Linked DNA regions of Tamandua tetradactyla. The protein of the gene in region 4 interacts with the protein of the main gene of each other region in a pairwise test. Links are inferred from orthologs where the notes say so. Each region holds a gene or a part of one and is shown on either strand. Other genes may lie near its edges.

Evidence for each region.
Region 1: the proteins of EMILIN1 (region 4) and protein BEX3 interact in binary tests that used the Homo sapiens proteins (3 or more experiments, as listed by UniProt). The two-hybrid records come from large-scale screens. The link is inferred for Tamandua tetradactyla from reciprocal best matches to the Homo sapiens genes EMILIN1 and BEX3.
Region 2: the proteins of EMILIN1 (region 4) and ZC2HC1C interact in binary tests that used the Homo sapiens proteins (3 or more experiments, as listed by UniProt). The two-hybrid records come from large-scale screens. The link is inferred for Tamandua tetradactyla from reciprocal best matches to the Homo sapiens genes EMILIN1 and ZC2HC1C.
Region 3: the proteins of EMILIN1 (region 4) and MTMR9 interact in binary tests that used the Homo sapiens proteins (3 or more experiments, as listed by UniProt). The link is inferred for Tamandua tetradactyla from reciprocal best matches to the Homo sapiens genes EMILIN1 and MTMR9.

Annotation. Positions count from the first base shown.
Region 1 is NC_135353.1:70,565,464-70,572,202, forward strand, and holds protein BEX3, read right to left. Parts: upstream 2,056-6,739; 5' UTR 1,922-2,055; intron 1,508-1,921; 5' UTR 1,434-1,507; intron 1,092-1,433; exon of another isoform or gene 1,089-1,091; 5' UTR 1,069-1,088; coding exon 742-1,068; 3' UTR 505-741; downstream 1-504. UniProt on the Homo sapiens protein: May be a signaling adapter molecule involved in NGFR/p75NTR-mediated apoptosis induced by NGF. Plays a role in zinc-triggered neuronal death.
Region 2 is NC_135338.1:34,146,144-34,153,380, reverse strand, and holds the start of ZC2HC1C (zinc finger C2HC domain-containing protein 1C), read right to left. Parts: upstream 3,025-7,237; 5' UTR 2,665-3,024; exon of another isoform or gene 2,541-2,664; intron 2,488-2,540; exon of another isoform or gene 2,368-2,487; intron 1-2,367. Other genes in the region: ACYP1 (acylphosphatase-1), read left to right, coding at 3,437-3,528.
Region 3 is NC_135329.1:32,776,374-32,784,151, forward strand, and holds the start of MTMR9 (myotubularin-related protein 9), read left to right. Parts: upstream 1-4,773; 5' UTR 4,774-5,685; coding exon 5,686-5,867; intron 5,868-7,778. UniProt on the Homo sapiens protein: Acts as an adapter for myotubularin-related phosphatases. Increases lipid phosphatase MTMR6 catalytic activity, specifically towards phosphatidylinositol 3,5-bisphosphate and MTMR6 binding affinity for phosphorylated phosphatidylinositols.
Region 4 is NC_135329.1:10,850,850-10,857,884, forward strand, and holds the start of EMILIN1 (EMILIN-1), read left to right. Parts: upstream 1-4,034; 5' UTR 4,035-4,395; coding exon 4,396-4,565; intron 4,566-5,516; coding exon 5,517-5,642; intron 5,643-6,128; coding exon 6,129-6,349; intron 6,350-7,035. UniProt on the Homo sapiens protein: Involved in elastic and collagen fibers formation. It is required for EFEMP2 deposition into the extracellular matrix, and collagen network assembly and cross-linking via protein-lysine 6-oxidase/LOX activity.

The DNA.
Region 1 (6,739 bases), on a different chromosome or scaffold from region 4:
GCAGAAGAGAAAATATGCCCAAGTGACATGATAGTAATCAGGGTAGCAGGAGATTGCAAATATCAGGAGTGGTATGGTGGAACGCACCTTTTTGCCACCTAGCCTTGGGAGCACAGGTGCAAATGGCTTTTAATCCTCCCCAATTAACTGATGAGGTCCAGGGTCCTCGTAAATGCTGGGGATCTGGATAAGAGTCAGCCTAAAACAGTTCCACACCTCATCTGTTCTACTCAGCAGCCCTGTAAAGCAAGCATTGTTCCCTATTTCACAAAACAGAAGACTAATCCTTTAGAAATACATCTGTAGTAATGGATGAATTTATTCTGCTGAGTAAAAAGGCTGGAAAAGACTTAAGGTTTACTCTATTTTAAATATGCTGAAGCAGTATTTACGCAGAAATGTGCCCCAGCCAACACTCTGGTGTATTTAATTTCAGATTTTTTGCTTCATATTTGTTATATAGAAGTATACATGTTTTTAATGAGACAATAATAAATGTATAGATTGCTTTTTAAATTGCTTTATTAATTTTACATCTTTCCATGCAAACAGGTGAAAATCGGCTGGCAGATTTAGACTGGGTGTAAAGGCAACCTCCAACTAGAAACTGGTAGCACAAGGTCCACTGACTTGGAAATAGCGTTAGATTCACAGTAAACAGATCAGAAAAGGCATACCAGGAAAATGCAAAGAAAAAGTCAGTGGAAATCACAGTATTAATCTCATGGATAATGGCAAAAGTCAAGGCATAAGGCAAAATTCATCATGATGGTCATGGTGATTAGAGAGTTCTCCCATAAGGATACGCAGACAATTCCTTAACTGCAGCTCCCTAAGTTTTCTCCTGATTTCTCTCATTTCTTCCATGAACATTTCCATATCATCTCCATCTCCACCCATCCCATCATTGACCTGCCTATTGGGTATGCCCCATCGAAAATTAGGGACAAGTCGGCGAGCCTGTCCCTGTCTATTATTTGCTGCAGGTGGCTGGCCTTCGCCCTGGGCTTCCTCTCCATTCTGCATCGGCTGTTCCATTTCTTCGTTTTCCTGGTGGATATTTGCCATGAAGAGATTTTTTTTCTGGTCTTCTTTAAACGGAAGTAGGACAAATGCAAGAACAGAGACTAAATGCATTATGCACGGATCAACAGGCCATAGAGCCCTGGATATCAACGGTTTTTAAATTTCATTTTTCCCACCTGAGAGAACTTGTACGCCCTCTAGGGAACTACCAGCCCAAGTCTCTCCTTTCCACTCCCCCATCACCCCTCCCTTCCCCAAAGCCCACCATTTTTTCCTACATATCAGCTCCAGGATTCCGCAGGCACCAAAATGGAGGACCTGGGTGGGGGTGATATGGGGTTTTGGGAGGGGGGGTCTCAGACTGGCCTCGACATTGCCCCGCCCCCAACACGGTCCCTCACACCGACCTGGGCCTATCCTGGCGGTATCTTCTTCCTCCGGATTCTCGTCCTGACCGTCAGGCCCGCAGACCTACAGTTGGCTGGGATGAGGGGAGCGAGCGGGAGGTCTGCTGCTACCGAGCGCTTGGCACGGGCTCGCTACCACCCAGCGCCTTCACAGACACCTCCTCGCCGCTATCGCCCACGTCTCCCGTCTCCACCCTCAGCCACCCCACTCCCCGTACTCCCCACGCAGTGTTCGCCTTTTTCCAGCAGGGACCCCGGGGGAGGCGACTTCCCATGTTTCTCTTGGTTGCTCTGTTGCTCTCCCTGGAATACCAGCCTTTCTGCACTCTCCCATCCCACCAGGGGCCACCATTTCTGTTCCCCCAAATGCCTGGGTGTGTCGGGGTGGAAGTTGGCCAGGAACCCTGCGCTGTTTCCCCCTGTGCCCGCCGCTTGGGTCAGCAGGCGGCTGCTGCAGCGCCACAGCTCGCGGGTCCCGGGACCCTTACCTGCCCCGCTTTGCCCGGGCCGGATGCCAGCCCGCTGTGCGCCGGCGGCACGGAGCTAGTTCCCAGACGGGAGTGAAGACTGCACTGAAAGCTGCGTCACTCTGCAGCTCCTGGTCACGTGAGGGCCGTGCGACACCGCCGACCCCCAACCCCCACCCCGGTGGAAGGGCAGTGCAACATGATACCTCTCCACCGCTTCTCCTTCCCTCCACCCTCCCCCTCTCCACCACAGGCACAGGCACAGGCACCCCTTCGCGCCTCTCTGAGCCAAGGTGTCCCAGCGCATAGCCCCGTCAGTCATCTTGGTTTTCTCCAATGGAAGAGACCACAAGAAGTAACACAGCAGTGCGCCCACAGCCCTTCTCTGGTTACCAGGGAAGGTCTGCATCCCATCGTGAGGCCTGTGGTCTTGCCTTTTATTTTATTATTTTTTTAATGTGGCAGCTTTATTTATAATATGCAAAAACTGTAAACAACTAACACATCCTTCAGTGGCTGTATGGTTAAACAAATTGGTACCATGGCATACTACTCAGCGATTAAAAAGTGATTAAAAAGAAGGAATTATTGATACCCAACAACTTGGATGACTCTCCAGAGAATAATGCCCACTGGAAAAAAAGTCAATACCAAAAGATAACATACTATATGATTCCAAATATGTAACGTTCTTAAAGTCAGAAAAATTATAAACATGGAAAACAAATTGCCAGGAGATGAAGAGGTGAAGGAGGGAGAGAAGTGGGTGTAGATGAAAAAAGACAATAGGATGGAAATTTGTGGTGATTGTAAGGTTCTATATCAATGTCAGTTTCCTGGCCGGAGATTTTACCACTTGGGGAAAAAAAAAACTGGGTAAACGAACACAAGATCTCTTTATTTTTTTTTTTTACAGCTACATGTGAAGCTACAATTATCTGAAAATTGAAAGTTTAACTTCTTTTTTCTATTTTTGGCATGGGCAGGCTCCAGGAATCGATCCTGGGGCTCTGGAATGGCAGGTGAGAATTCTGTCACTGAGCCACCATTGCACCACCCTAACTTCATTTTTAAAATGACACGTAAAAAAAAAAAAGATATAAAACTAAAATTATATATACATACAGACACATATTTGTATGTATGTATGCATGTGTGATTTATGTTTATTACCAGGTTTTTCACCCTCTTAAATATTTAAATGTTTTTATTACAGAAGTTGTAGATTGTGCTGGTTTGAATCTGTTATGTACCCCAGAAAACCCTATGTTCTTCTAATCTATTCTTCTGGGTACAGAACTGTTGTGGGTAGGACCTTTTTGGTTAGGCTGCTTCCAAGGAGATGTGACCCACCCAATTCAAGGTGGATCTTAATCTTTTACTGCAGTTCTTTAAGAGAGCTCACGGAGAGTGAGCTTAGAAAGAAAATGCTGCAGGAGAAGCTAAGAGATAAAGAAATGTCCAGAGACATTTTGGGGAGAGCTCAGTGAAAAAAGATGACCCAGGGGAATCCAGAAGGACCCATATAAGCTGATAGCACCATTGAAACCAGAACCAGGGAAGAAGGGCCAAAAAACATCACCATGTGTCTTCCCACGTGACAGAGGTACCCTGGATGCGGCAACCTTTCCTTAGAGAAGGTATCTTACTCTTGGTGCCTTAATTTGTCTTGAATAACAGTGGTGACAGAGGGCATCCTTGTCTTGCTTCCCCTAATCTTTTGGGGAAAATTTTCAATATTTCATCATTGAGTAAGATGGTGCCAGTGTGTTTTTATATATAAGCTTTATCATTTTGAGGAAATTTCCTTTTATTCCTGATCTTCTAAGTGTTTTTATCTGGAAGAGGTGCTGGATTTTGTCAAATGCCTTTTTTTTGCATCAATTGTTATGATCATGTATTTCTTTACTTTGTTCTGTTTATGTGATGTTATACATTAATTGATTTTCTTATGTTGAACAACCCTTGAATACCTTGGATAAATCCCACTTGATCAAGGTGTATAATTCTTTTAATGTGCTGTTGAATTTGGCTTCCTAGTATTATGTTAAAGATTTTTGCATCTAGATTCATAAGGGATTTTGGTCTGTAATTTTCTTTTCTTGTGGTATCTTTAACTGCTTTTGGTATGAGGTAATATTATGGCATGTTTCATCATTTTCAATTTTTTTGTAAGAGTTTGAGCAGAATTGGTGTTAATTCTTCTTGGAATGTGTTCTAGTTTGCTAGCTGCCAGAATGCAATATACCAGAAACAGAATGGCTTTTAAAAAGGAGAATTTAATAAGTTGCTAGTTTACAGTTCTAAGGCCGAGAAAATGTCCTAATTAAAACAACTCTATAGAAATGTCCAGTCAAAGGCATCCAGGGAAAGATACCTTGGTTTAAGAAGGCCAATGAAGTTCAGGGTTTCTCTCTCATCTGGAAGGGCACATGGCAAACATGGCTTCATCTGCTAGCTTCTTCTCCTGGCTTCCTGTTTCATGAAGCTCCCTGGGAGGCATTTTCCTTCTTCATCTCCAAAGGTCGCTGGCTGGTGGACTCTGCTTCTCGTGGCTATGTCATTCTGCTGTGCTCTCTCTGAATCGCTCTCATTCGCCAAAATGTTTCCTCTTTTTATAGGACTTCAGAAACTAATCAAGACCCAGCCAAATGGATGGAGACACACGTCCAGCTATTCCAGTTTAACAACCACTCTTGATTAAATCTCATCTCCAGGAAGATGATCTAATTACAGTTTCAAGCATACAATACTGAGTAGGAATTAGAAGAAGCAACTGCCTTTACAAAATGAGATTAGGATTAAAACATGCCTTTTCTAGGGTACACACATCCTTTCAAACCAGCACAGAATGTTTGATACAATTCCCTTGTGAATCCATCTGATCCTGGACTTTACTTTGTTGAAGAGATTTTTGATTATTGATTCCATCTCTTTACTAGTTATTGATCTGTTGAAATCTTTCATTTCTTCTTGAATCAATGTAGGTAATTTTATGTGTTCCTTTGAATCTGTCCATTTCATCTAGGTTATCTAATGTGTTACAATACAGTTGTTCATAGTATATTCTTAGGGTCCCTTTTATTTTTGTGGGGTCAGTAATAATGACCCCCCCATTCATTTATTAGTTTTGCTATTTAACCTATCTTTTTTCTTTGTTGTACTATTCTACCTATTGTTTATTGTTTTTATTGATTTTTTCAAAGAACCAACATTTGGTTTGGTGAGTCTCTCTATTGTTTTTTATTCTCTTGTTCATTTATCACCACTCTAATCTTTGTTATTTCCCTCCTACTGCTCACTTTGGATTTAGTTTGCTCTCCTTTTTCTAGATCCCCTGGTTTTGAATTTAGGTCTCTGATTTGAGATCTTTATTCTTTGATGTAGGCATTTAGAGCTATGCATTTTCTTCTCAGCACTGCTTGTGCTACACCCCATAACTTCTGGTGTGTTGTGCTTTCATTTTAATTTGCCTCAAGATATTTATTAATTTTTGTGATTTCTTTGACTCATTTGTTGTTTATTTTAGTTTTCTGATGTTGCTAGAATGCAATATACTAGAAATGGAATGGCTTTTTTTTTTTAACTTGGGTAGACACCGGGAATTGAACCCAGGTGTCCAGCATGGCAGGTGAGAATTCTGCTGCTGAGCCACCATCGCACCGCCCTGATATGGCTTTTAAAAGGAGAAATTATTAAGTTGCAAGTTTATAGTTCTAAGGCCATAGAAATGTCCAAAGTAGGGTATCCAGAGAAAGAGACTATAACTCCAAAGAAAGGGCCGATAAAGTTTGGAGTTTTCTCTCTCTGCTGGGAAGGCACATGGTGATGTCTGCTAGCTTTCTCTCTTCACTTCATAAGGCTTCCCAGGGGGTTTCCTTCTAATGCCTGAAGATTTCTGTCTTTGTGGGCTCTTTTGGCTCTGAAGCTTTATCCAATATAGCTCCCTCTTAAAGGGTGCCAGTAAGCAACACCACCTTGAATGGGTGGAGACACATCCCTATGGAAACCATCTAATCAAAAGTTACCACCCACAATTGGGTGGGTCATATCTCCATGGAAACATTAAAAAAGATCCCACCCAGCAATATTGCATGAGGATTAAAGAACATGGTTTTTTGAGGTACGTGACAGTTTCACACCAGAACATTGTTTAAGAGTATGTCAGTATAGCTTGTTTGTGTGTTTCCAGGAATTTGTCCATTTCCTCTTAGTTGTCTATTTGTTGGCATACAGTTGTTCATAGTATCTTCTTATGATTGTTTTTATTTCTTCAGGGTCTGTGGTAAAGACCCTCCTCTCATTTCTGATTCTGTTTCTTTGCATCCTCTCTCTTTCTTCATCTGCCTAGATAGAGGTCCATTGATTTTAGATACTTTCTATTGTTCTTTTGTTCTTCAATTAATTTAATTCTGCTTTAATCTTTGTTATTTCTCTTCTTCTATTTGCCTTGGGGTTAATTTGTTGTTCTTTCTCTAGTTCCTTCAGGTGAGCAGTTAAGTTGTCAATTTTGGTTCTTCTTTTTGATTTTTTTTTTTTTTTTTTTTTGCATAGGCAGGCACCGGAAAGTGAACCCAGGTCTCCAGCATGGCAGGCAAGAACTCTGCCTGCTGAGCCACCATGTCTCACCCTCTTCTTTTTTAATATAGGCATTTATAGCATTAAATTTCCCTCTCAGCACAGCCTTTGACACGTCCCATAAGTTCTGATATGCTGTCTTCTCATTTTCATTTGTCTCCAGATAGCTACTGATTTCTCTAGCAATTTATTATTTGACCCACTGTTTGTTTAAAGGTGCATTATTTACTCTCTATATATTTGTGAAAGTTCTGGTTCTTT
Region 2 (7,237 bases), on a different chromosome or scaffold from region 4:
ACATTCATGCATATGGAAAATAATGTAGTCAGCAGTGGTCAGTGTTACTACATTGGGTTAGAAAGAAACTCCTTAGTGCCTTCCAGGGAAATCCTTTGAATCCTTGGATTCATTTCCAATTGACTCTCTATTGCCTTCTCCATATATGCAGTCCCAGACATTTTCCATTCTTCCCAAGGTCTCAGTCATCTCACCAACGGGCTTCCTGCCTATCAACTTCCACATCTTCCCTTGACTCTGGTAGAGTTCCCTAGCATCTTGACTTCCTTCCCTCTTGTTTCTGAGGAAGCAAGGGCTCTCTCTTTCCATGTGCACTCTTGAATTAATCCTTTTCAGTACCCTCCTGGACGGCTCCTTTAGCCTTCCATCTTGTTAACTTGAATTTGTCCCTCTCGACATACTCCTCCTTCTCCTTGGTTTTCAAATATGCTTAACTTTCCCCTGCAAAACAAACCTCATTTCTAGCTACTCTAAGATACTGGAGACTAAAAGAGATATCAATTTAATGATTCAGCAATCATAGTCTTTTGTTAAATCCGATCTTCTCTGTATAACTCCATCATCACCTTTGATCTTTCTGTCCCATTCTTTAAGGGTATTTGGGCTATGGCCATCTAACTTTTTCATGTTGGAAGGGACTGTTAATAATATGGGACAGGGGAATGGAACTAGCTGATGTTCTAGAGAGGCTGGATTCTCTAGGCTTCAGGACTTACCTGGTCCAGTGACCCATCTGGAGGTCGTAGGTTTCTGGAAGGTTACCCTAGTGCATGGAACCTTTGTAGAATCTTATATATTGCCCTAGGTATTCTTTAGGATTGGCTGGAATGGTTTTGGTTGGGGTTTGACATTATAGGAAGCAATGTCTAACTGACGTTTGCATACAAGCAACCTCCAGAGTAGCTTCTTGACTCTATTTGAACTCTCTCTGCCACTTATACTTTATTAGTTACACTTCTTTCTCCCATTTGGCCACAATGTAATGGTTGATCCCACAGTGCCAGGGCCAGACTCATCCAGGGACTCATGTCCCATGCCACCAGGGAAACTTTCACCCCTGGATGTCATGTCCCATGTAATGGGGAGAGCAGTGTTTTCACTTGCAGAGTTGGGCTTAGAGAGAGTGAGGCCACATCTGAGCAACAAAAGAGGTCATCCAGGAGTATCTCTTAAGCATACCTATAGGTAAACTAAGTTTCTCTGCTACCTACATAAGCTTCACAAGATCAAAGACTTGGCCTGTTGATTTGGGTGTCCCTAAAGTGTGACACAGTATCAGGATGGGAATTGGTATTTTTAAAGTTTCCCCAAAGATCCTAATGTGCAGCCAGGGTTGAGAATCCCTGGTATAACCACAACTGAATGTTTGAGTCTCTCACCTCAGTGCTAATAACTTAACCCAAGCTTCACATCCTGGGAGGTGGTAGAGTGTATAGTTTATAGGAGTGGGCTCTGAACTCATACTTCTGGGACTAACTTCCAGCTCTATCATTTACTGGTTGTGGTTGAGTAATCTTGGATAAAATGTTCCTTTCTCCAAGAAGCCTCTCCCAATTTTTCCAGTCAGATTTAATCTCTTTGCTCCTTTGTGATCCCATAATATTTCTGTCCATAATATTTTCTGACTGGCTCATGATGAGCTGTCAGTGGATGTTTGTGTAATTGAATTACGATGATATGCATTGTATTGTCATTATTTGCATACATATTTGTCTTTAACACTAAATTTAAAACTCTTTGAGGGAAAATATTATATGCCATTTATCTTTGTATATCCTACGTATCCTGCACCTAATAGATTCTATTGTTTTTTATTCTATAGAAAAAAATTGGTTTAAAAATGAATTTTAGAGAAAGAAATAACATTAGCCAGGTACTCTGCCTAGGTTTATTCTCAAATATTGCCAAGCACAAGATTCAGTCTAGGTCCCTTCCAGCATTAAAATTTTATGCTTCTTTAGGATCTGGATCCTCATGGCCACCATTGTAAGCCCATATCTGCAAAATCATAGCTAAATCTGCCACTCTAACCTAACATAACCATTCACATATGAAGGGTCAGGTTATGGAGAGAGGTAATGTATATAAGCAATTCGAAGAAAAGTGATAAACACAGTTTCCCTTCACAGTATTAATCCCAAGGGTCACTGGCTGAGTCTGAAGACCCACAAGTAGTGCCTAATTTTAACCATTCTAACCCAAAACTCCCCTGGACAATTCCCTTTTCCCAAAATAAATTCATGCAGTTTGGTCGTTTCACTTTGATTGATTCAATTGTGATTCTGTGAAGTCATTAATTTTTTTTTTCCTTTCTCCCTCCCGCCCTCACTCCCTCCTTCCCTCCTTCCTTCTCTGGTTGGTGGGCAGCTTCCAGAAGCGCACAAGGGAGAAACAACTTCCACTGGAACCTCCCGTACATTTCTCCTGCTTTCAATTCCAGGCCTAGGCATGACCTAAAATTGGGGAGAACTTAAAAAGAGCAGAAAGGTTGTATACATTCTATTTAATTTATTTATTATGTTTAATGTTTAATGGCTGTATCTCACCTCCAGAATTTAGGCCGGGCAAGCCAGGGATCCTGTCAGTTTTGTTCACTAATGTATGCCAACCACCTCTAGGTTCTTACAGTGCCTGGCATACTCTTGGCTCTTAGTAAATACTTACTGAATGATTAGTTGTATCCTAAGTGCTCCTTCGTCGATGTCTTTATCCTCATGAGAAAAGGGGTGCGCTTAGTGAGTGAGGCAGAGTGAAGGACCACTCTGGAGTCCGGACCCTTACAGATCTCCAATTCCAGCATAGCTAGCGCTCTAAAGACCACTGCTTCGGGAAGTCCCACCCTCTAGGCGGGCTCTGGGCATAAGTATGCCGTCTATGATTGGCTGGGCTTAGATGATGGACATGAGAGACAACGAAGGAAGAGCCACGCTGTAGGTTTCCGGGCGTAGCGTGGATTCCGCTAGGGGAGCCGTTGGCGTTGGCGTTGCTAAGGGAGGACTTCGGGTCTTGTGAGGAAGTCGAGGAGGGTGACCCTGGGACGCGGCTGCGGGCAGTGCGGGTGAGTGTAGTTAGTTCTAAATTGTTAGTAGAGGGGGATTCTGACGGCCGTGTGGAAGCCGGGTCGGTGGACAGGAGAAGGGGGTGGGAGGAAGCGGGACCGGATGGATGGAAGGAGGTTATTGGGTAAGAGGCCTCAAAAGAGTTGTCTGTGGACAGTTGCGACCCGAAACTCCCATGCCTCGGTGTCTTCTCGTTATTTCACACGTACGCTCAAACACATACCCATTTACTTACTCTTCGAAGATCCGGGACCTAAAGGTCGGAGAGAGGTCGCAAGTGGATAAGGATGAAGAAGTGTGCGTTGTGGCCTTTTCTGCTCTAGGTTGGGGAACCTGGTTATAGTCCTTTACTTTTCTGCTTTCCTTGTATCTGACAGGTTTGAGTATGGCAGAAGGGGACACCCTGATATCAGTGGATTATGAAATTTTTGGAAAAGTGCAAGGAGTGTTTTTCCGCAAATACACTCAGGTATGTGCTGTAGGCTTTGGGGATAGCAGGTTTTGAGCCTGGGAACGAGAGACAGGTGCCTAACAAATATCAACTAGAAGAAGCTGGTTATTTGGCAGCTGCATGGCAGGTAGGTACTTTGTAGAGCAGTGGGTATGAAAATGCTTTGCAATGGGTAAAACTGTGTAAATGGAAGATTCTGTGGTTGTTATTGTTGGTCTTTTTCTAACAGTACTTCAGTATCTAGAATCACATATCACATGCTTCTTTCTTCCCTGGGGGAATAGAGAGCTCCCCCAGTCCACTCTGTTAAGGCTTCATCAACCCAACTCACATTTCTTGTGAAAAACTAACATTGATGGAAGAGATGGCATTTATGTAATTTATGTAATTGCTTCCTCCATAGCTGCTGCATTCTTTAAGACCCCTTTTACCTCACTTCTCTAACATCCCCCCCTTTCTCCATTTATTAATTCCTTTCTTTTCTTTTTAGCTTTGAAAAAATAATGACCTTTCCCAGCTGAAGCTTTTCTAATGAAAAATGCTTCATCCATTTCAGGATAGGCTTGTGAGGTCTGCTATTCCTACTTGAGTATTAAGGAGTGATTGAGGAGAGAAACATATTTATTGGCAGCCTCTACCTCTGTAGTGTCACTAATTTCCCCTCAGCCATGCAAAGACAAATGCAATCTCAATTCCCATTCTGCCTTCTGTAGGGTGAGTATTGGCTATTGCCTTCCCAATATATCAATATATTTTCAATATCTCTTTCCGATTACTTGCAAATTGTTTCCTCCTATTTCATACTCATATATGAAGCACCTGTTAGAAAAAGAATTGTTGAAAGTTGTAGCAAGACCTGTGTTCCCGTTGTTTATGCAGGATAAGTTCCTATAGTTTAATGAATGGAGGTGATGGCTTCAATGATAAAGTAGTAGAGGGAAAAGATCTATAAGGGGCACAATTGCCCCTCTTCCTCTTACTCCTCCTCTCCCATTTAGGGGGAGAATAAAGGAATGCAGAAGAAATAATGATTTGGAAAACTGCAAGAAAAAAAATCACTTTTTTTCTTAGACATAGCTTATTCTTACTACTTATAATCATTTAAATATATATGTTCATTTTTAACAGTTAGCTTTGTTTTGCTACAATCTGTAAGTTCATATCATCTACCATCTTTTTTACCATTGCTGTACTAGTGGGTATGAAGGGATATCTCTTTTTTTTTTTAGAGAAGTTACAGATTTACAGAAAAATCAACAGAAAATAAGACTTCCCATACACTGTCCCCCTTCCCCACTATTAACAGCTTGTGTTCGTGTGGTACATTTGTTACAATTGATGAAAGAATATTATTAAAATTTCACTATTAACTTTATAGTCCATAGTTTACATTAAAGTTCCCTGTTTGTGGTATTGTATTTAATTGTTGGTCTAGTAGCATATATTCAAATATATAATTCAGTGCTGTTAATTGCATTAACAATGTTGTGCCACCATTATTACCATTCATTACTAAAAATTTTCCATCACCTTAAAGAGAAATTTTGTACAATTTAAGCATTAACTCCCCTTTGCCTACCCCCGCCCTGGCCCCAAGTAACCTCTATTCTGATTTCCGACTCTATGAATTTTCTTATTCTAATTATTTCTTATCACTGAGATCACACAATGTTTGTCCTTTTATGTCTGATTTATTTCACTCATAATGATGTCTTCAAGTTTCATCCATATTGTCGCATGTATCAGAACTGCATTCTGCTTTATGGATGAATAATATTCCATTGAATGGCTATACCACATTGCATTTACCCATTTTTATTATTTTGAAAATGTTAGCCATTCTAGTGGGTGTGAAATGGTTTTGATTTGCATTTCCCTAATGGCTCTTGATGTTGAACATCTTTTCATGTGTTAGCAATTTGTTTATCTTCTTTGGAGAAATGTATATTCAAATCCTTTGCCCATTATTTTAATTGAGTGATTTGTCTTTTCATTGTTGAGTTGTAAGAATTCTTCATATGTTCTAGATACTAGTCCCATATCAGATAATGATTTACAAATATTTTTTCCCATTCTATGAGTTTTCATTTCATTTTCTTGATAACATCTTTGAAATGCAAAATTTTAAAATTTTGATGAAATCCAATTTATCCAATTTTTCTTTGTTGTTGCTTATGCTTTTAGTGTTACATGTAAGAAACCCTTGCCTAATCCAAGATCATAACAGTCCATGCCTATGTTTTCTTCAAGAATTTTATAGTTTTAGCTCTAAATGTATAGTTTTAATAAAATTAACCTATTTTAAGTTCATTTTTATATGTGGTGTAAGAGAGGGATCCAAGTTCATTCTTCTGCATGTGGATACCCAGTTTCCTGAGCACCATTTGTTGAGATTGAAAAACGCGTTGAATTGTCTTGGTGCCCCTGTCAAAAATCAGTTGACCATAAAGATAAGAACTTATTTCTGGACTCTCAATTCTATTCCATTGATCTCTATGTCTTTCCTTTTGCCAGTACCACACCATATTGATTTTGTAGGCTTGTTGTAGGTTTTGAAATTGGGAAGGGTGAGTCCCCTAATATTATTTTTTTACAAAATTATTTTGGCTCTTCTGGATTCTTTGCATTTCCTTGTAAATTTTAGAATTAGTTAATTTCTGCCCCCCCCCCCCCCAAAAAAAAGGCATCCTGGATATTGATAGTGATTGCATGGACTCTTAGGTCAATTTGGGGAGTATCTTCACAGAATCAAGTTTTCCAATCCATGAACACAAGATACCTTTCCATTTATTTAAGTCTTCTTTAATTTCCTTCTATGGTATTTTGTAATTTTCAGCATGTAAGTCTTAAACTTCTTTTGTTAACTTTATTTCTAAATAGTTTATTATATTTGATACTATTGTTAGTGGAATTGTTTTCTTAATTTCATTTTCAGATTGTTCATTGCTGGTTGTGATAGTTAGCTTCTAGTGTTAACTTGGCCAAGTGATGATGCCCAGTTGTCTGGGCAGGCAAGCACTGGGCACAGTTGCTGCAAGGATATTTTGTGGCTGATTGATAACTGGAAAGCTGGTGTATTAAATCATAAATCAATTGATTGCTTCTGTGGCTGATTACATCTGCAATCAACTAAGGTGCGTCTCCCACAAAGGAGATAATCAAATTAGTTGAAGACTTTTAAGGAAGATGAGAGACTCTTTTCATTCCTTCTTCAGCCAGCAAGCCTTTCCTGTGGAGTTCATCTACACCCTTAATCGGAACTGCCAGCTTCACAGCCTGCCCTACCGGGTTTTGTACTCTTCCATTCCCATGGTTGTGTGAGACGCCTTTATAAATCTCATATTTATAGATATCTGCTGTTAATTCTATTACTCTAGAGAACCCTGAGTGATACAGGTTGGTCCCAGGAGTGGTTCTTGAGAAACAGAATCTTAAAAATGGGTTTTTACAATTGGTTTTCTGCTCTGGTTAGACTCAAAGGATTGATGAATGGCACTGACAGTCCATGGGGTGAGTTGACAAGAGAGATACGCAAATTATCACCATTAGATTCTGTTAATTGTATCCTTATATGAGGCAAGACTCTGGATGAGAGTGTTTTTGACACCTTTATGGAGTTTTGTGGAATTAAGAGGAAAATGATGTTGGCTGGTTGTTGTTAAATATTCTGGATACAGTGATTAGGGAAAGGGATGAGCTGAAGTCTTCAAATTTACAACTTAAAGGC
Region 3 (7,778 bases), about 22 Mb from region 4:
CAAATATTTTCTTTATTCCTCTTTCCAGATGCCCATTTTTTAGGGGAGGTTAAGTTCATACACACATTTGCCCCACTATCAACAGAGTTTCTGGGGCACAATTTCTTTGACACTTCTCCTTTTGAGATATGGGGTCAGTATCACCTCCCCTTGAAACTGAATGGGATTTTGTGTCTGCTTAGACAAAGAGAGTACAGTAGAAGTGACATTATGGGATGTCTGAGATTAGGTCATAAAAGATGATGCAGCGTCTACGAATGCTCATTCTTGAAGGTTTCAGCTGCCATGTATGCAGTCCAACTGCCCTGGGGCTATCATACTGGAAGGAATACCAAACTACCTCCCAAGGAGAGGCCACAGGGAGAAGCATTGAGAGCACAGAAGGAGGCAGAGAGAGATGCCTGGCCAGCCCCTCGTTCTTTCAGCCCTCCCTCTTCTCCATCGTTTCTGCTCCAGCAACCAAATGATGAATGTTGTTTTAAGTCAGCATGTTTGGGGAGTTGTTTTATTACATAGCAATACTGTCTGGACAGGCCCTCTTCGTTCCCACTTCATCACTTTTTTCGAAGGTGCTAGGTTCCTGTTGTTCTCATTGTGGTAAAAAATGAAGTGGCTCAATGACTGAGCTATGGGAAGCAGACATAGAGGATGTGGCTATTAGAATGCAGTAGCTGAACATAGGGCCCACTGATCATATTAGTATCCTCAGAGCTTTCATTTTGTGGCTGTGTACAATGAAATTTTAGCCTTCCTTTCCTCAGTTTAGAAAAGCTCTTTTTTTCCTAAAATCCAAAGTTCAGAGGAAAAGGCTCTGAATCATAACATTCAAAAGCAGTGCAAGATAAGTCTAATCTAAATTAGTGTAATGGAAAGGACCTGGGCTTTTGCACTCAGAAGTATTGTCATTGGGTTTCTGCCCAACTGTTTGTTTGTGTGTTATTCTTCCTGTCACACTTTCTGACTTTAAAGCATATTAAAGTTACAGTGGTCAAACCAGCATGGTATTGGCACAAAGATCAATATATTGACCAATGGCATCAAATTGAGAGTTCAGAAACAGATCCGCACATCCAAGGCCAATTGATTTTTGACAAGGTTGCCAAGTCCACTTAACTGGGAAAGAATAGTTTCGTCAACAAATAATGCTGGGAGAACTTTATATCCACATGCAAAAGAATGAAAAACAACTGCTATCTCATACCATATACACAAATTAACAAAAAATGGATCACAGATTTTAATATGAGCCAGGACTATAAAACTCCTAGAAGAAAATATAGGGAAGCATCTTTAGGATCTTGTGTTAGGCTATGATTTCTTAGACTTTATACCCAAAAGAAAAAAAATAGATAAATGGGACCTCATTAAAACTAAAAAATTTTGTACATCAAAAGACTTTCATGAAAGTGAAAAGAAAACTAATGCAATAGGAGAAAATATTTGGAAACCACATATCCAATAAAGGTTTAATTATCTGGAATATATAAAGAAACCCTACAACTCAACAATAAAAAGACCCACAACCCAAGCAAAGATGGGCAAAAGACCTGAATAGATCTTTCTCCAAAGAGGATATAGAAATGGCTAAAAAGCACATGAGAAGATGCTCAGTATCACTACCTATTAGGGAAATGCAGATCAAAACCATAACGAGATGCCATTTCACACCCACTAGAATGGCTGCTATTAAAAAAAAAAAAGCTGAAAATAACAAGTTCTGGAGAGGATGTGTAGAAATAAAAACACTTATTCATTGTAATGTAAAATGGTGCAGCTGCTGTGGAAGACAGTGTGGCAGTTCCTGAAGAAGCTATTTACTATATGACCTGGCAATTCCATTTGCTACTTTTTTGCCCAGAAGAATAGAAAGCAGGGACTTAAACAGATATTTCTATAATGATGTTCATAGCAGCATTATTCACAATTGCCAGAAGATGGAAGCAAACCAAGTGCCCATCAACAGATAAATGGATAAACAAAATGTGGTATATATACATATAGTGGAATATTATTCAGCCATAAAAAGGAATGAAATTCTGATGCATGCAACAACATGGATGAATCTGGAGGACATTATGCTAAGAGAAGCCATCACAAAAGGACAAGTGTGTAATTTGAAAGCTGCCTGAAGTATACCAGAACTGGAATGGCTCTTAAAAAGGGGAATTTAATAAGTTACAAATTTACAGTTCTAAACCTATAAAAACATCCAAACTAAGGCATCCAGAAAAAGACACCTTAATTCAAGAAAGACTGTTGGTCTGGAACAGCTCTGTCAGCTGGGAAGCCACTTGGAGCATCTGCTGGTCCCTTGCTCCTGGGCTCCATTGCTTTCAGCCTCTATTTCTATGGGGGTCCCACACTTTGCTTCTCTGGGGCTGGCTTTCATCTCTTGGCTTCCCTTGGCTCTCTCCAGGTTCTGGCTTGCTTAACATCTCATGGGAAGGCACACAGCAATATCTGCTAGTTCCAACCATCTCCAAACATCCATGTCTCCACTCTCTCTGTTGGCTCTCTCTCTCTCTCGCTCTGTCAGCTCTGTCATTTCTGACTCTCCAAAACGTTTCCTCTTTTAAAGGATTCCAGTAAACTAATCAAGACCCACCTGAAATGGGTGGAGTCGCATCTCCATGTAATCAAAAGGTCACACCCACAATCGGGCATGTCACCTCTCCCTGGAGATAACCTAATCAAAGGTTACTGCCCAACAGTATTGAATGAGGATTAAAAGAAGCAGCTGCCTCCACAAGATTGAGTCAGGATTAAAACATGGCTTTTCTAGGGTACATAATATTTTCAAAGCGGCTCAACAAGTATTCTATGATCTCGCTGATAACTAATTAGAATAAGCAAACTCATAAGGTCAGAATCTATAATATAGATCACCAGTCAGTAGACTGGGGGTAGAGAATGGGGGCTGATGCCTAATTTATACATAATTCCTATTTAGGTTGATTGTAAATGTTTGGAAATGGATGGTTATGATGGTAGCACATTATGGTGAGGGTTAATTAACAACATTGAATCATATAGGTGATGTGGTTAAAAGAAGAAACTTTAGGTCATATATCTTACTAGAATTAAAAATTAAAAGACAAAACATAGGATTGTATAACACAATGAACCCTATTGCAGACAATAGACTATAGTTAATAGTACAAGTATAAGAGTGTTCTTTCATGAATTATAACAAATATAACACACTAATACAAAGTGTTAGTAGCTGGGTGGTCCATGGGGGAAAATATACACAATGTAAACTATGGACAATAGTTAATAGTACTATTTTAGTAATCTTTCTTCTTTTGTTCATTAGATGTTTTGGGTGCATTAACATTTCAAAATTAGCTTTTGCCCCTTAAGGGCAAGGGTCATGCTAGATCCACTGTTTTCAGTCCCTACAGTGCTGATAACCATGTAGGTACTCAATAAATGCTAGCTGATTATTTGATAGAACAACATCACATCTAGATGATCATATATCAATGTCATTTGTTATCTCAGAATGATGGTAAAAATTTAATATGTGTAGGGTTCTGAGTAAGTGCTTCACATGCATTATAAATGCCATCATCTTCCCTAGATTATCAGAATCTTCTGAGACACTTATTTCCAGGCAGTTCGGACAATAATGTGCTTGATTACAGCTTCACTGAATTATGTTAATAGAATGGAAACCCATCTCATTACTGTTAAACTTGACTGCCATCTACTGTCCACATAGTAAAGTAAAGTAACATTTTGTACTCTTCCCCCACCCCCTCCAGGCTCTATTCTTTACTACTGAATTTTTGTTTTCCCCAAACCTCAAGGGCTTTCCTTGCTTTGAGCTTCAACCCACAGTAGAAGTAATTTTCTAATAGTTGCCAGTGTTACATTATAACAATACAGCGTGATATTAATTTTCTCTCGTGGGTAAAAAAAGTTTTTGGCTTTATAGAAGATTAAGCATTTTTTACTTAATGACATGATGTTCTTTTCATAGGATCCCCCTCCCCAGGAAAATTAAAAGGAAAAGTTCATGAAAAAAATCTTTCCTACATAGCTATCATTAAATTGGATATCTACCTTGGTCACATTTCATTTAGAGTATAAATTTGATTCATCCTTCCGCGTTATCCTTTCAAATGTTACCTTTTCCATAAAGCTTTTCTCTGAGTGTTCAGGGAAAATTCTCCCTTCCAGAATTGATAAGTACAAAAAAGAAGGAAGACAAAAATTCCAGTTCTCCCTTCTCTCTTGTTTTCTGTTTTCCGTTTGCAGAAAACAAGCTAAACTAAACTTGACTCAGCTAAACAATCTTTTAACATGATTAAAGATTGGAACATGTTACCAAAGACAAGAACAAAAGTGGGGACAAGTGTTGGGTGATCTCATGTGAATTTGTGACAATTTACTTTGGGTCCGAAAACTAAGACTTTGGCCAACTCTTCTCAGGTACTATGGTGAGGGTTTCAAAGATTAATGAAGTGACAGCAGTTCAGGACTCAAACCCTTGCGTATCCCCTCTTCCCCCTTCCCTCTTTTAGAATTAAAGTATTAGTTTAAAGGGGGAGGAGAGCAAGCAAGGAGAAATCATTTAAATAAATTTCGGCATAACTGGGGCATCTGGCTTAGCTGGATTGTATTTAATGGTGAGGCTGTGAGGTGGAGCAATCAGAACACACTAACTAGCCTTGGATTTCATAGCCTTTAGCAAGTCACTTGCGGTTTTCTCATAGGATAGAATTAATCACTTCCTCTTCTGTGCATTGTGTGTTATGTCTCTCTCGGTCCTAGCAGGTATTTGCATGCTTTTCCTTTTTCGGGTTCAAGGTCCTGCAGCTGTGGCACGGAGCTCTCAGTGAGTCGGCGGCGTCCAGCCCTGTGTCCCATCCCTCACACCTGGCAGCTTCTCCCGGGTCACAACCGCTGATCCGATCCTCTACCTGCCTTCTCTTCGTGGCGACTGGATGAAATTCGCCACCATTTACCGCGACCCCTCGCTCTGATAAGTCCTTCGCGGCGGAGAGGGGCTACTCACGTGGAAGGAGGCAGAACAGGACCTGTCTCGCCGCTCCATCTTACTGGGCCTTTTCCGATAAGGCATATTAGGAGCGTAGCATGTGAAGGCAAAGAAAAGCTTTTTCCTTGTAGGACCACACATCTTCGGATCTGGCTGCCTTGCCGGAAGCATTTTCATCGGACCCAGCTGGGGCTCGACTTCCTGCTCTGCCTTCTCTGTCTTCGGAGTTTTGGGCTCCGCCGCTTCCGCCCGGAGTTGCTCCAGGATCGTGCAGCCAACAGCTACTTCCGCCAGGAGTTCCCAGCCTCGGCCTTAGAAGCTGCTTCTAAAACGGCCTCCTCCTCGCCTTAGCCTGTCCACCAGAGGCCGGGGCCTCCAGGTGTCGGGGCGGCAGCCGCTGGCCCTGCTGCGGGGCATTCTCTGTGGTCGAGTCCTGAGCCCGGGGAAACGGGAAGTGCGGGCGAGACTGGCCCAGCCCCAGCCTCGGTCCTCCCGCGGTCAGTGACCGTGGCCGCAGGCCTCGCCGCGCCCACCCCAGCCTGGGGCGGGGCCCGACCTCCCCGCCCCGCTCTCCGCCCCTCCGGCAAGCCCAGGGCTGGGTCATTCTCCTGTTCGGCCCTGCGGCGGTGTGGCAGCACCTCAGGACTCGGCAGTCCACTGGCTGCGGACGCTGGGGGGACATGGAGTTTGTGGAGTTGATCAAGACCCCGCGGGTGGACAATGTGGTGCTGCACCGGCCTTTCTATGCAGCCGTCGAGGGAACTCTGTGTCTGACGGGCCACCACCTGATCCTCTCCTCCAGGCAGGACAACACGGAGGAGCTGTGGCTCCTCCATTCAAACATAGACGCCATCGACAAGCGGTGAGTGCCCATCCCACCTGCCTATTTCACGGGAACCAGAGGGCGTTAGGTGGACGCCTAAAGGCACGCTTCCCGGTGTTTTCCTTGCGTCTCATTGTCAGACCAGCCAGCAAAATGTGCTCTTTCTGGCCTAGATTCAAGGTTTGAATTTTAGAAAGGGAACAAAACAGAAAACAAAACCATCCAAGCAGGATACCTGGTTTCTATTAACTCAGTGGAATTCACAGGCTTCTCAAGTGGTTATCATCTTGATTACTGTTTTTGGTGCAAATCTATTTGTTTGGATTTTCAACTTTTTCTTTTTAAATTGTCATTGTCCAATCGTATTTTCTTGAAGAGTTATTTTTTATCGCAGTTGATGAAGTTGTGATTCAGTGTGATTTTAGGTAGTCTTTGCTTACCACCTTCCACTGAGGAAAACTGCAAGAACTAAAATATATGGTTATCAGGGTGTCTGAATTCCATGAAACTGCTTTTCTCTCTCTTTTTTTTCTCAAAAGAGTTCAGTTTGTCACATTTATTATTTTTTACCTTCCTGACCATTAATTTAATACTTTCCATTGAGGGAGATTGTAATTTCTTCTATTCATTTTTATTCAGTTTTGTTTTTGGAAAGGAAAGAATTGGCTTTTAAACAAAAGCATGAAGTAATTAACCTCTTTGCACTCCAAGCTATCTTTTCAAGGCAGTGTCTCAGAGATGAAAAGTTATGCTTACATTAGAAGTCAAAATTACCATTTCCCAAATATCATCCCAGTGTATCACAGTGTTCCCTGATGTCTGTTACACTAAGAATGAATGAATGACAGCAGCTTTTTCTATTTATTCTCAGGAGAATTTGGGTACTATGAGGATTTCTGGTGAGATTGTGCCTCAAAATAAAATAATTTATAATGGTGGAAATCCATGCAGTATGGGTAAAGGTGCAGTGGATTTATTTATTTTTCAAACAGAGTGCTTTTAGTAGACGCCTCGGGTCATGTTTTCCTGTGTGAAAGTTTTCTTTGGTCTCTCATTGTTTTTGCAGAATAAAGTTTAAATTTTGTAGTCTGTCATTGATTGCACTCCATGTTTTGGCCCTAACCTACTTTTCCCACCTTATTTCTTGCCATTCCCTCTCATGAACCCTTGTCTTTTCCATTCTTGAACCCTTTTTACTAGCCAGTCCTCACTATTTAATGTTGCTCACACATGCCTAGCATTTTCTCATGCTCTTCTTTCTGCCTGGAATGCCCTTACTCATCCCAAATGTATAAAACAGTATTTTTTAATGCCTTCCTGTTCCAGACATATTGTGAGGCACTAAGGACACCCTGATGAATGAAATACAGTTCTTGCCTTTCATGCGTTCATAGGGTATGATCCTTCTGTTACCCATCTATCAATATTCAGTTTAGCCAATTGAATGCCATCTCCTTCACAGATTTTTCCATTAATCCTACAACTGGAAATAGTTCCCCTTACCTTAAAATCCTATAGCTCTTTAAATTATACCTCTTTCAAAAGTATATTTTCACTGGAGATCCATGTTCGGTTCCCAGTGCCTGCCCATGCAAAAAAAAAAAAAAGTATATTTTCAAATTTGTATTTTAATGTTTACGTATATTTTAGCTTGTTGAAGCCAAGACTTACATCTCACATTTGTATCTCCTGCAGAACTCCTAACCATGGCTTGAGCAGGTAGGCACATAGGAAATAGGGAAAGGATTGACCACAGAACTGTCACTGTGCCATAGAATACTAATTAGTAATCTCTCCATTATCTTCAGCTCTCTCTCTCGTTTTTTTTTTTTTAATTGAGGAATCTTCACACACATACAGTCCATACACGGCATACAATCAATGGCTTACAACATCATCACATAGCTGTGTATTCATCACCTTAATCATTTGTAGATCACTTGCGTCACT
Region 4 (7,035 bases):
CGCTCTAACCTCTAGGCTGACCCTGGAAAGCAGGATTTCTAGGCTGTAAATGACTTGAGGGAAGGCCCTGGAAGTGCTTCAGATTCCTCAGGCTGACCTGAAACCAACTGACCTAGCTTCTCAGAGCTGAAGGAGGACTTTATCATTTTATAGAGGAGGAAACTGGGGCTCAGAAGGCCATTAATTTGACTAAGGTTCTACAACTGGTTAGCAACAGAACCAAGGCTAGAACCCAAGTGTCGCCTCCTCTTTCCTCTTTTTAAGATTCCATGTCAGACAGGTGTTCTAGAGTCAGGGACAAGAGGAAAAGGATTTGTTTTAGAACCACTCAGAAATGTCCTTCACCTCTCGGACTGCCTGTGCCTAGGCCAGTGAAGTCTTTATTGGCCTTCAATGGGTCATTTGGCCTAGGGCCTGGAGAAACTGAAACAAAAAATAATCTCCAAGACTGAACTTGGCTCAACTGAGAGAACTGAAAAAGCTTCAAACAAGCTTGGGTGGAAAAGTGTGTGGGAAGTGAGACAGGCAGAACCTCATCCCAGACAGGGCCTTGGGGCGAATTGAGGAGGAGACACTTGTGGAGCTGAATCTCTGGGATTCTGGGATTAGTATGACAGTTTCCAGGAGAGGATAGAGGCCAGGATTAGGCTCAGGAGTGAAAAAGCAACAAGACTTGGGGAAAAGGGGATTGGACCCTGGGTCCAGGGATGTCTGCTCCTAAAATGTTGTACTTATGGGTGAGGGTTGGAAGGAAAAGGAAAACATAAACATTTGGGGAAGAGTGAACTTTTGCCCAAGTGCCCAAGAGCTTGAATTCCCCTCTGTGTTGGCATTGCCCCAAGGTCCAATTCTTATTATTCCCCTTTTATTCTGATATTAAGTCCTCTGAGAGAGACCATTAGACAAAAATGCTCCTTTTTACTGGTACCCCCTGTCTGTCCTGACCTTGGAAATATAGGCTTATTTCTCCGTGTGACCAGGATTTCCCATTGGCACTAGAATCTTGGAAATCCCCCATTTTGGAGAGGTTATAAAATAGATCCTGTCCTAGAGCTCCAGGGATGAAGTCTTTTTTGGTCTCAGGAACTCTCTTGCCAATTGCTTTGGAAATTTGTGTCTGCCTGCCAATACCACCACCATTGCTTTTCATCCGCTCTTAGCCGCCATTGCAACCTGCTTGCCCACACCTCAAGCCAGCAATGGGAATTGCCCTCTCCAGTGAAAACCCGGAGCCACTGATTTATTTGAGATCTCACAAGTATTTATGTCAGCTCCTAGGTCTTGGCTCCTAATTACAAGTCTCAATGAAATGTAGCATGTCACAATTATATTTCAAAGCCAACATTTTTGACCCAAGACATTTAAAATGTACAACAGATTTTTAAACTTCAGGGAACAGGCTAGGGAGTGGGTGACAGTGAGGCAGTGACAAGATGGCAGGCATAACTTTTCAGGTTGTCAGAGGCCCCCTAATGGGCAAGGAAATGGGGAAGATGAGGGAAAGAAAACCCATAGCAGCAGCCAGGGCAATTTGAGGGGAAGTAGGCTGGCTTCCTGCCAGGGCCAGGGTCAGGGCTTAGCACTGATGCAGAAACTATGGACAAAGTTGCAACCTTCCACTAACAATTCCTTTGAGACCAAAATCTCCTGTGACCATTTCCTTCAGGTCTCCCTGTGTGCTGATTACCAAACCTCTAAGGGGCAGCTGCAAATGTCCATTGCTGTTGGTTCCAACCTTTACTTTTTCCATCTCCTGTCTTTTCGCCAGAATTTCTCCCAGCCATCGGAGTCACTTTCTGGACTCAGGGGGAAATCTCTGGGTCATGTTGAAGATCCAGTAGCATCCATTCCCATGGTTTCAACGATAGTCCCTCCAAATGGTCCCCAGCATCAAGGCTCGTATTTCTAACCATCTCCTGCACATTTATTTCCCATGGGATGTGTTTTCTTCATCTTAAACTCAGATGCCCAGGCTAAGGTCATCTTTCTTTCCTCCAAACCTGCTCCTCTTCCAGACTTGCCCATCCTGGCTCAAACCCTGGAAACTTCTCTGGTGTCTGCCCTCATCGTGTCCCTCCTTACTCAGGAGATCACCAAGCAGTCATAGCCTTCCCATCCTTTCCATGGTTGCTATCACCACTGGAGCCCAAATCTGCATCACTTTGCAATGTAGAATTCGGAAGGATTCTTAGACAGACAGGTCCTTCCTCATATAAGAAAACCATGCTCAGTGGATTCATGGGGTTTGCCCAAAGTTACACTGCTTGGTAGAGGAAGAACTGGGATCGGCATTCTCAAGCTCAGATACCCCGTTCATGACTCTTGCTGATAATTCCTTCTTCTTTCTGTGTTTCTTCCCTTTTCAGAAACTTGCAATCTAAGCTCTTAACCGGCATTTGAGCCTTTTCTCAATTTGTTCACAATCTACCTCTCTTCCTACCCCATCTTTTTCTGACACAAATAGAGCTAGCATTTACTGAGTATTTGCTGTCTGACAGGCACTGTTAGAAATGTTTTACATGGACAACGTACTTGATCCTCACAAACCTAGGAAGGAGGATGCTGTTATTATTCCCATGTTACAGACAAGAAAACAGAGGCAGACTTTTCCCCAAGCCTGAAATTTCTCCACTCCCCTCCTCTCCGTTCTTTAATTTCTGTTTTCCAATACTGTTGAGGTTTTCTCTTTTCCAATAGCTCTTCTCAGAGTCCTGCTAACAGCAGCTATCTTCTCCCTCCTCTACCCAGAATATTTCCCATCCATTTGGCCTGCCCAACTGGTGCTCAGTGCGCCCTGCCCGCCTTGTGTTGGTTCCCTTTCTCCAACAGCAACTCGGTAGACAGCGACCGGGTCTAATAGGCCTTTGTCCCCTAGGGACCTCCACGGCACTGGGCCCCGATGCTCCCTCGTGTCCTTTCTGTCCAGTGCTCCAGCTTCTCTCTCCCCAGCGTCTTGCCACACAGGGAGACCCTGGTCCAGGACACAACAACGAGGGCCAGCGGGTAAATGCGGGGCAATCTTCTAGATTCAAGCATCCCATAAGGAGCTTTCAGGGCAAGCAGCTGGTTGGATATGACTGAGTTCTGTACTTGCTGTCAGATGTGCCTCCAGGCTAGTGAGTGACTTCCTTTGGTGCTATACAGAAAGGTCCCTAGTCACCTCCACCCACCTCTGCCCCCTCAGTTATGGCCTGGCCTTCCTCACCACCACAATCCTAGACCCCATATTCATTTGGCCCTTTAAGAATCAGATTCTTCTCTTCTCCACTGCTTGGCAGGAGACTGCTCCCCCATTTCCAGATTCCTTTCTTCCTCCTCTGTATTCTCTGGATTTCCTGACTGTCTCAGTGGAGTCCTTTACCTTTTCCTCCCTCGCCCATGAGCCCTACTCTCTCCTCCTTTCTCCCTAGTCCCTGACCTGGGTATGTCAGCCCGATTATTGCCTAGCTGTGTTACCTTGGACAAGTTACCCTCCCCCTCTGAGCCTTAGCATTCACATCTATAAAAGGAGACTGTATGGTGAGTGATGTCCTGCTGAGCCCAAGAAATTCATTCTCCCTTTTACAGGCCTCCCCACCTCCTCCCCCCTCTTGGCTCCTGTCTTGGGTCCTATCTCCCAGGAGGGGCCTGCCCTTGCCCAGGAAAGCTGTGGCTCCAGCTCCTGCTCCCTTCTAAGCCACCAGCCCTAGGCCTCCACCCCAGCTCTCACCCCCGCTCCATGTGGTCCGTCTGTGAAGCTGGCCCCAAGCCCTACAGCCACTCCACGTTTCTCTGTTTTTCCTTTTTTTCCCCCCCTCTTTCCCGAAGTTAACAAGAAGCAGATGTGGCGTGCGATGGTTGGAGAGGTGGGGGGAGGAGGGGAGGGCTGAACCGCCAGCCAGACAGGGGGAAGGGAGGAGAGTAAGCAAGGGAGGGTGGCCCGAGGCCAGGGCCCGCCCTACAGCCACTCTCGAGCCTCTGAACGGCCACAGGGGCAAAGCCCTGTCACCCTCAGGATCCGGTCATCGGGGGGAAAAGGACAGAGAGACCAGAGGAGGGCCAGCTGGGCCGAGGGGGCGGAGGCCCAGGAAGCAGCATCCGCGAGGGGCAGGGACCAGACGCGGGAGGCCAGGGGGCACAGAGAACAAACTCCCCTCAGAAGCAGAGAAGAGGAGAGCGGAAAGAACGAGGGAGGGACAGACAGGAGCCTGAGGAGGAGAGAGGAGGGGGAGAGGGGTCAGGCCAGGCTGTTAAGGAGGAGGCGTGTGGCTTGGGGCGCCGACAGGAAGCCGGGGCCGGGCCGGCGCGCTCTGTCCCGCGGAGCCGCAGCATCCCCAGGGGCTGGGCAGAGGCGCCAGCGGCCAGGCGGCCGGTCCGGGATGAGTCTCTGAGGACCCCCACGGAGTGACCCCCACCATGGCCCCCAGCGCCCTCTGGAGCTGCTACCTCTGCTGCCTGCTGACCACAGCTGCAGGGGCCGCGAGCTACCCACCTCGCGGTTACAGCCTCTACACTGGAGCCGGTGGGGCCCTCGGCCCTGGGGGGCCCCAGGCCCAGAGCGCCCCCCGGCCCGCCAGCCGCCACAGGTAGGACGCTGGGCCCCAGCCTGAGGCCGGAGATGGGTGGGAAGGGCTGATTGAAGGTGGGCACATGGGCCACCACCTCGGCTGCCCCTCTCCCAGGGACACGATCCCCTGGTGCAGGGGAGGGAGGCGAGAGCAAAGCCGCCCATCAGCTGGCTGCTCACGTATTACCTTCGTGAGGGCCGCTTCCTGGGTCCCCTGAGCGTCTAGGCTCCCCGTTGATGTCGGGGGATCGGGGGACCAGTCCCTGGGCCCCCACACAGAGACCTGCAGTTAGCGCCCAGGAAAGCCACCCTGAGGGATGCGGGCCAGGCCTGGCTGACAGCGGCTGGGAGGCCACCGGCCCAGGGGCCTTGGGCAGACCTTTGTCCCTTTCTAGGGCTTCCTAGGCCCATCCCGTAATCCATAACCCTGACGCCACTCCGCTCTGCCTCTTTCGGCTCTCCAGCCACACAGGCCAGCACGAACAAGGTTGAGTGTGAACTGTGGGCCCCAAGGGGGATAGGGTTTATTACCTACTTGCCTTGAGCTGGGCCTTGGACTGCCCCACCCTGTCCCCCATGGAACGGGGGGAAGCCAGCGTCCAGGGGGTCACCCACAGGCTCCCGCGAGCTGACTCTCACATAGCCTATCAAGCTGGGGACTGAGACAAGGCCAGAAAGGGACACAAATGAGTGTGTGAGAATCCCAAGGACCCCACAGCCAGGCGGACTGACTTCTCTGTGGTTGTGCCTTTCCATTCCATGCCTCTCCACATCTTGAAAAGTCTTTATCTGCTCCTGGCATAAAGGAAGGCGTGGGGGGCAGGGGGAACTGTCCTGCCAAAACCCCAGGTCTCGCCAGTCCCCAAGGGCCCCTCATCTTTTGACCCTGACCCAGCCCTTCGGGGAGCCCCCGGGCCCTCTGCTGGGGCGTGTCTCCAGTCCTCAGGCCCACGTAGGTTTGTCCCTGCAGGAACTGGTGTGCCTATGTGGTGACCCGGACAGTGAGCTGCGTCCTTGAGGACGGAGTGGAGACCTTCATCAAGCCTGACTACCAACCCTGTGGCTGGGGCCAGCCCCAGTGTCCCCGCAGCATCATGTAAGCTCCCATGCCAGGGGCTGGGCTGGGACAGGGGGTACCTGGTAGGGGCTCAGAGAGGGGCAGAAGGTGGGGGCCAGTTCAGAATTCGTCCAAAGCAGGTAGCAAGGGGCAGGGCCTAGATCAGAGCCATATTGAGGCGATGCTGAGGCAGTAGTTTGGCTGCTGGGACACGGAAGGCCGAGGCACCCACCCTGCCAGCCCCTGAATACCATCTCGGGATCGGGGGACTGACATCTCTGGGCTGGGTCACCCTCAGGGAAAAAAACACAAGGTTCCAGAGCTGGGCAATAGTGAGGGGAAGAGCAGGCATTTGGCCCTTGGCCAACAGGCTGACAGCTGTCAACTGAGTGAGGCGACACACTGGACACTCAGGGTCCCAGCCTGAGGGACAGGCCTTGGCACCAGCAGCTGCTCACCTGAGGACAGGGGCCAGGGCCACAGACAGGACAGGGAGAAACAAAAGGGCCCCTCTGCCTCTCCCAGGTACCGCAGCTTCCTCCGCCCTCGCTACCGTGTGGCCTACAAAACAGTGACGGATATGGAGTGGCGGTGCTGTCAGGGTTACACGGGTGATGACTGTGGGGAGGGGCCTGCCCCTGAGCTGGGTCCGGCAACTACCACGCCACGCCCCCAGCCCCGGCCCGGCCGCCCCAACCTCTCCGGCTCCAGTGCGGGCAGCCACCTCAGCGGGCTCGGGGGAGAAGGTGGGTATGGGGGCTGCTGGAGAGAGAAGTGGGGGACGACCCTGGGCGGGAACTGTGGGGCTGAGCTGCTGAGAAAACCCCATGCCCTAAGTCAGAAGAAAGGGGCAGAGGGAGCCAGTGAGATCCCTGAGGTTCCCTGCATGTGAGAGAGAGGAAGAGAGGGAAAAGCAGAAGGAAGGGGGAGGGGAAGAGAGAGAGAGCTCGTATGTGGATGCACATATGCACACACGCACACACACACACACATGCTCACACGCTCCCATGTGTGATCAAGATACTTCCTTGCTGGGAAGAGCTGCAAGAGCAAGAGGGGATTCCTTAGAGAAGCTTTGTCCTTGGGGAAAGAGTTGACACTGCAAGTGCTAGCATGCATCCCGGCTGACTGCAGGTCCCAGGCCCCAATGTGGCCTTTGGAGACTGCGGGTCCCACAATGCCGCCATCCCTGAGGCTCGCCTTCCCTTGCATGTGTGCCAGGCACTCCGGATGTGCTGTTTCCCTAGAAGAGAGATAGCAGTCCTCGTAATCAGGGGAAAAGGCACATCCAGCTAACTCTGACCACCCAGCTAGAGCCCCAGCAGGCTTGCCTTGTTTGTCCCCATGGTGTTGTGGGGAAGCACCTCCCAGTAATAACAGCCTCGTGGTATCCAGCGTGCCTCCACCACTCCCTTTTTGCTCCTCCTGACAG